Linked DNA regions of Alligator mississippiensis. The protein of the gene in region 1 interacts with the protein of each later gene in a biochemical or structural test. Links are inferred from orthologs where the notes say so. Each region holds a gene or a part of one and is shown on either strand. Other genes may lie near its edges.

Region 1 (3,941 bases):
AAAATCTAATCAATAAGTTATATACTTTCTGCAACTGCATCAATTCTCTCTTGGATTACAGCTCTTGGCAGTCATTTTAAACTAAAGCCATCAAAAACAGAAAATGCTGAATTGTTTAAACTTATCTCATACTTTTGATGAGCAAAACCTTTTGAATTATGCACATCAAAATACATGAGGAAAAATGTGACAAGAGATTATATTCCAGCAAAATGCACTTTCAAGGGACATTGTAAATTTTTGAAGGACTCTTAAACAGATGAAGCCCCATTTCAAAAATCGGACTCAGGAGGCTCAGCCCCTTGGGTACTTTGGTAAAATTATCCATAACGAACTTAAAAATCATATATTGTAAATAAACATACCCTGGGTTTTTATATTCTATTATTATATTTATATTACATTATCAAACATGAAAAAAAAATAATCTAATTGAAGTATCACGTTCTTTGTTGAGTTTGCATTTCATGAGATCATTAAAATAAATAAAGTAAGTTTCACCCAATAACTGTTATTTCCACTTGCAGGTAATAAGATTGCATGTTTTGATGTGAAACACAACAGAGGATTTACTTTAAAAAAAAAATTATTTAGGCAACTATAGAACAAAACCCCAGCACATTAAACACACAGGAATTGCATGTCATGACATTTTTACAAAGAAATACTACAAGGGTTATAATTGATCACTTGCACTATTTGTGTAAACATTTCTATTGGTGTTAGATTTTGTAAGACCTTGTTTTCACAACTTTTACAATGTGGTTTCAAACACAGGACTCACTTACAAATACTTCCTACAGAGTAGCATGTTTAATATTCTGAGTAGCCTTCTGCCTAATCCCAAAGTGTTACAGGCACCATGACCATTATGTTTTGAGTTCACAGAATCCCTATTATTTTAAATAATGACATTCTAAAATTATGTCACCTAAGAGGAAGACAATTTAACAAGCTAATTACAAAGGTACACTACATTTGAGTCTCTAGTACAAATGAACATTAAATACGGAAGCCAGTTCAAATATTACTATTTTAGTGGACTCAAGGAAAATGACCATTTTGGGGTTGTTTTTTCTAAATCTGGTTCATTTATACTAATGCAACGTAAGTCTTGCCCTGTCAGAGGATCCTTATCCTTTCCCTTGCCTTTTACTTTCCTTTCCCTGAGGGCACCTACACACATGCCCAAAGCCTGCTCCAACATGCTCTAATTAGAATGCATTGTAGCAGACTTGATTATCAAATTGATTCTGCTCACTTGAGCTTTAGTTAAAGTGCCCCATTGCCATTTTGAAACACAGGGAAGCTGCATATATGTGACACCAAGTCTGCTGGAGTGCTCCAATTAGAACACCCCAGCAGCCTAAGTGTCATGTGTATTCAGGGTCTCTGCATTTCAAAACAGCAGTGCTTTAACTAAAGCTTGTCAAACGTGTTTTAGTTAAAGCATCCTCGCTGCCACGTTGAAGCACGGGACACTGAATACACGAGACATTGGAAGTATTTTTATTAGAGCAGCTCCCGAGAGCCACTCTAATTAAAGTGCCTCACCCCACCAACCCCAGAGACCACAAAGGAGTCACCCCTGCCTTTCACAAGTTGCCAACATTGTTCCTTCCCTCCACCAGAACGGTTTCCTAGACAGTAAAAACTGTGTACATTGGATCACCCATAGAAGAACTTGTATTACTTTACTACAAATATCACTTGAAATGTTTGAGGACTGGTCATCTGTGACCCTGTGATACAGACCCCAATCTGAACATTCATTTAGAACAAATTGCTTATCCCCAGCTCCACCCTAGTCGTGTTTTGGGGATGTCCTAGGAGATGCTCAGCCCATACCTATACAAGAACCTATTTCTGAAAAGCAAAGGCCTCAAACATTCCTCTGAACCCCCCCACAGGTAGGTACCAAGCTGCCTTCAAGGCCTTGCCGCACCTTCTTATGAAAACTGGACAGAAACCAACTGTAGGGTTACACATTTTCAAGCACTCCCTTGGGAGCTGGTGGGGTCTTTCTAGGTGGGGGAACATTTGTATGGTGTGAGAATTACTTTACAAGTGAGATCAATCTGCAATGATTGTGCAATTTAACCAATGAATTGCATGATTGATGCAATGCTTGGCAGGGACCCCCTGCCTTACATATGCCATGAATCCATTGGTGAACCGCGCAATAAATTCAGACCAGCCACAGGTGCAAAGTAATCCTCACAACACACAAAGTCCCTGCAGGCAGAGGCACCCCCTGGCTCCCTGAAAGCAGGGAACAACCCTGTGGCCAGTCTGGGCAGCCTTCACGCAGGCCTGCAAGGGCAGCAGGGCTGAGGTCTCCCAGGGCCTGTGCAGGCCTGAGGCAAACCTGCCCGCGCTGGTGGGAACGGGGCAGCCCTGCTCCCGGCTCCCACACGAGCAGCAAAGGCCCAGCCCAGCCCTGCGCCCCCTGCTGAAGCGGCCGGCCCCAGCCTCCGCCCCTCTTGCCCAGACAGAAGCCCCCCGGGCCCAGGGGCCTGTGCAGCCGCCGGTGTCCGTGCTCACCCAGACGCAAAGGCTGTCTGACAGCAGATAGTAGGCGACGTCCAGCGGCAGCGGCCCGGCACGGCTCGGGCTGGGCTGTGGCTCAGGTTGGGGCTGGGGCTCGGGCCCAGGCCAGGCGGCAGGGGCCTGGCTGAGGGCGCGGTAGGCGCTGAGGACGCAGCCGAGCAGCGCCAGGGCGCTGAGCCCCGCGTACGTGCGCAGGCTGGGCCAGGGGAAACGCTCCAGGAACAACAGCGGCATAGCGATCGCGTCTGAGCCCAGCTAGGCCCCGCCACCTCCCAGCGGCCTGCGCGGTCCCCGCTCCCGAGCGCCGCCGCGGCCGGGGGGCGGGGCCATCGGCCCGAGGGGCGGAGCTGGGCTGGGCGGCGAAGCGGCTGAGGCCGGCGCAGACAGAGCGGACATTGGGAGGCCAAGGCCGAGCCCGGCTGATCTCCGGGAGATCTCCCTCTGCGAGCCGGGCCTTTCAGCTGGCTCCGGGCTGCCCGGCCCAGCGAGGACCAGACCCTGCCGCTGTAAAAACTTTTTTCCCTAAGCCTCCCTCCACCTCGCCTCCTGTAACTCGGCGCTGCCCGGGAAAGCGCCTGCTCGGCAGCTCTCACAAAGCTCTTCCCTTAGTCTCACAGCAATCCGGCGGCTCGTCTGAGCCTCGGAGAGGATTATACGATGGAGGGGAGGCAACAGCCGTCCCCGGACAACTTGGATATTGTTATAGGTCAAAAGCATGAAGTGGCTTCAAGAAGGGCTGGGGAGGGGGCTTGTGGGAATAGGAACTCAGGTCTAGGATACTCTGGGTATTTGGGGCCATTTCTACCGACAGTAAGGAGACCTCTGAAAGCAGCAGGAGCCAACTGCATTTCAGGAAAAAACAGTATCCTACACCCTGAGTTGCTGTCAGACTCATGCACAGTAAGTTACCCAGCAAGTCAGTTAACCAAGTTTTATATTAACAAAACCATTAGCCCACACTTGGGTTTTGTCCTTACTTACTAGTACTTGGCAATTTTAAAATGTAACAGTACTATACATTTATTTCTTGCTTTTTTAATATTTGCCGTATACTTTTCAGCACTTCATATTGTGATGTCTGATTACCCATAAGAAATAATCATGGAGCCACACCAGAGCTTGGCCAGCAGGACACTGCTTGCAGCACGTGCACCATGCCAGGCTCCTGTACTACATGCAATGTGTGCAGCTGGTCTATCCCCACATGCCACGTGCAGCACACGCTGGCCCCATTTCAGAGCGCACTTTGCACACCCTCGACAATGCATGCTGAATGGGCAGGTTCCAGACTAGCCCTAAATCATTCCAGTGTGCGTGTGCACAGACATCCGGGCCAGCCCCAGAACCAGCATGCAGAGCTAATCCAACAGAGCACCCCATACAGCGCATCC
Region 2 (3,600 bases), on another chromosome or scaffold:
CAATTCTCGGGGCCAGAAAATGCAAATTTAATCCCATTACTATGCACAAGGTGCACTTTTAAGTGAATTTATCTAACGATGCTAGTTCTGACATGTACGAGGTAAAATTTGGGATCGGAGACTATACTTCAATGAAGCCGCACACCTGCCTCCCTCCTTAAAAGAGGCTTTGGCAGTAGCATCGGTGGGATCAGAACAAGGGGTTCCCGTCTCAGATTTCGAAAATCTCGCATTATTTAAATGTAACGACCTAAGGATACACAGCCTGGATCAGGACGACCCCGGGAAGGCTGCAAGGAGTGGAGGAGACAGTACCAGAAGGCACTGCAAGCGCAACAGCTGCAGACGTGGGCGACGGCCCGCACTGCAACTTCCACAGTGCAATATAGGAAGCAATAGCAGCAGGGTTTGCTGAAAGCCTAACCACTATCAGAGGTTGGCAGAACTGCCCTTCCAGCCTAGTTTCTTCTCCCTTAATATTAACTGCTGACTCATCGCGCAGCCAAAATGGGGTCACACCTCCTCTCACAAAAGGAGAGGAGGAAAAAGAGAAAGCAGGTGGTTTCATGGAGGGAGCTGCAAGGTGCAGCAGCAGAGCCCCTCCCTGGCAGGGGGCAGGGCCCCACATGGGAGCCTCCAGCTGCCAGCCCGGCCCAACGCCTTCCCCTCTGGCCCCAACCTTGCTGCTCCCCTGGCGAAGCTTCACCAAGGGCACTGCCCAGGTGGGTGCCCGCGGCCCCACACCCCCAGCCCCGCACTCACCCCTCCCCCTCGAGGGGCCACGTGCCAGGCTGCAGCTGCCACCCTCCTGCTTCCCAGCATGCCCCGCGCTCCCCACCTCGTGCTCACGACTCCCAGAATGCACCTGGCCCGGGACCCTCTTAAAGGGCCAGCGCGCCCCATCCGGGCGGTACCTGCGCTGTCCCGGGCCAGGCCTGGGCGCGCTTGTGGGAACGGGCGGCGACGGCAGCTTCGCACCGCTCGGGGCCACGTGCCGTGCTAAGCCGAGGGAGGGGGGGGTCTCTTCCAACTTCCCCTCCTATCAAACGGGTGCCGCCACTGCCGCCGCTTTCCCCGCGGGCCCGGGCCTAGGGCTGACCTTCCCAAAATGGCGGCGGAGAGGGCCGACGGGCCCTCCCCAAGATGGCGGCGCGGCCGGGCCGGGAGCTTGTAGTGCGCGTGCGCGCCGGGGCCCGGAGTGCAGTGAAATTCCGGGCGGGCGGGGGGAGGCGGCGGCGGCGCGGGGGAGACTCGGCGCGACGGGCAGGAGCCCGGCAGGCACCCGCGGGCTGCGGCGGCCGGACGGGCGGAGTGGGGACAGAGCCGGGGGGGGGCGCTCGCGCGGGGCTCGCCGCCGCCGCCTCGCTCGGTCGTAGCAGCCGCCGCCGCCCGGACTCCGCACCGGGCGCAAGGGGGAGAATGACGGAGCTCCAGTCCGCGCTGCTACTGCGGAGGCAACTCGCAGGTAGCCGGGCCGAGGGGGGGGGCGCCGGACCAGGCCGGGGCGGGCGGGCGCGCGGCGGGTGGGGGAGGGGCGCGGAGGGAAGTAGGGCATGGGGGGAGGGGCAGCGCGGTGGGGGAGGGGCGGGCCGGGGTTCCCCCCCGCGGGGGGGCGGTGACTGGGCGGCCCGGGCCCCGCGGGGTCTTTGTTCGGGCCTCGATCGGCTGCTCCCCAGCGCCGGCCCCGTCCCCTCCCTTTGTCCGCGGCCGCCCGGACCTGGCTCGGCCCGTCCCGGCCGCGGGGCGAGCATGCGCGGCCGCACAAAGCCGCGGCTCCGCGTCGCTCCTGCCAGATCTGAGAGAGACCCCGGGGGGCTCCTTCCGCGGCCCTGCGGCCTCGCCCCGCCGCCCTCCGCCCCGAGCCGAGCGGGGGGCCTCGGGGCTGCGAAGGTGTCAGGCGAGGCTCGTCGCCTCCCCCTTCCTCGCAGCCCGGAGGAGGAGGGCCGGGCTCCGGCCCACGTGTGTCAGGAGCCTGCGTGGAGGGGCGGGCACGGTGGGGCCACCTCCAGGGCGCTGTAGCCAGGAAGGTGGCGCGACACAGTCCCCGGGGGGCTCGGCTGCTTTCCGCCTCTAAAATAACTCCGCTCCGGAGTTGTCTTTCACCGAAAAGCGGACCGAGTCACTGCAGCTGGTGGCTTTGGGAGTGAAACCTCTCTCTCCTCTCATAGGAAACGGCAGGTGTGTATGAGCCCCCGTCTTCGGCGGTGGCGACGTGTCGTGCCTGTTGCTTAGGAGGAGTTGGGTGCCGGCAGCGCCGGGGTGCGTGATTTAACGCGTCGCTGCCGCAGAAACTTACTCTGCCGATGCTATCATCAAGGTCCCTGCATGCTCAAGTGCTGTCAGTTATAACGGGTATAGATATGGCCCCGAATCCTGTGGCTGCTAAATGGGCCCTTTCTAAAGGAGCCATGTGAGTAAATAAGCTGCTCAGTACAGCTTTTGGGGTTATGGAGTTGAACTAGTTTAAACGCTCAGTCGGCCAAAGACGCAAATAGACCACTTTCACGGCTTTATCTCGTAGACGCGACGTTCGGTAATTGCAGCATAAACATATTAGGCTGGATAATTCCTCCACTTCTTGTTTCTATTTGCTGGCATTTCTCCATAGCAAAATGAACAAAGTACCCTGTGATCAAAACAAAACTTGGCTATGTGTCTTGTAACTATTCAGAGTTACGAGACCAAAGAGCGAGACGTATTGCTGTTGAAGACAGTGGTGTCTTCTGAGGTTTTGTCTTGTTTTAATTAGAAGAAATAAATCATGGTTGTTTGCTTGAAGGAGTGGTAACAACGCTTCTGTATCCCTGCCATATTCCTGTTTCAAATCCAGATGGGCAACTTTACACTAACTCTTTCATTCAAGGAGTTTGAGTAAACTTGGAGGGTGGGTATCTGAGTATAGAAGTTGAATTATTTATAGTGGCTTGTTAACCTGTTGATCATCGGATGGATGTATACTTCTGCTTTAGACTGTATTTCTAATACTAAGATTTCATGTGCTAGGAGTTATGTTAGTTGGGCAACTGTAAGAACATAACAGAGTTGCCAACACGGGTTACTGCTCCCTCAGCACTTGGGAGATGGCCTGCCTAATGTCCGTGCTACATGCACTCATTTGACATGGGCCAACCCGTATTGTCAATGTGTCCGACATAGTTGGCAATTCTGTATGTGGATTTCCAGTGCAAGATCCTATAGTGCTACAGGGGAAGGTGTCTTTGGAGTATTCAGAGTTCCTGCTTGAAGACTGTCTCGTGTTATAACATGGACAGACTTTCTAACTGAATGACTACTACAGATGTCAATGCTCATCTTACTCGTGGCAGGACACTTGAACTCAATGCTGAGACTGAGCTTCATGGTAGGTCAGGTCTTCCTCCTTCACTGCTGGTTGTCTTCCAAGTCTCATCTGGGCCAGTGTATTTCACCCACAATACTAGTTCTCTTTCAAAACAAAATAATTAATATTCCAGTGTTCCTGTATCTTGTGAGACATTGGATAACGGTAGATGTGCCTTTGGATAGCATAGGATGGAATTCGGCTAGTTTTTGACACGATCAAAGTTTTTATAATTGCTTTGGGTTATACACTTACCTATC

The links.
Region 2: the proteins of AMFR (region 1) and UBE2G1 form a complex in vitro, tested with the Homo sapiens proteins (7 studies listed by BioGRID, with this or other methods). The link is inferred for Alligator mississippiensis from reciprocal best matches to the Homo sapiens genes AMFR and UBE2G1.

Annotation. Positions count from the first base shown.
Region 1 is NC_081833.1:41,619,090-41,623,030, reverse strand, and holds the start of AMFR (E3 ubiquitin-protein ligase AMFR), read right to left. Parts: upstream 2,854-3,941; 5' UTR 2,785-2,853; coding exon 2,545-2,784; intron 1-2,544. UniProt on the Homo sapiens protein: E3 ubiquitin-protein ligase that mediates the polyubiquitination of lysine and cysteine residues on target proteins, such as CD3D, CYP3A4, CFTR, INSIG1, SOAT2/ACAT2 and APOB for proteasomal degradation.
Region 2 is NC_081837.1:14,258,784-14,262,383, forward strand, and holds the start of UBE2G1 (ubiquitin-conjugating enzyme E2 G1), read left to right. Parts: upstream 1-1,040; 5' UTR 1,041-1,143; coding exon 1,144-1,465; intron 1,466-1,717; exon of another isoform or gene 1,718-1,901; intron 1,902-3,600. UniProt on the Homo sapiens protein: Accepts ubiquitin from the E1 complex and catalyzes its covalent attachment to other proteins. In vitro catalyzes 'Lys-48'-, as well as 'Lys-63'-linked polyubiquitination. May be involved in degradation of muscle-specific proteins.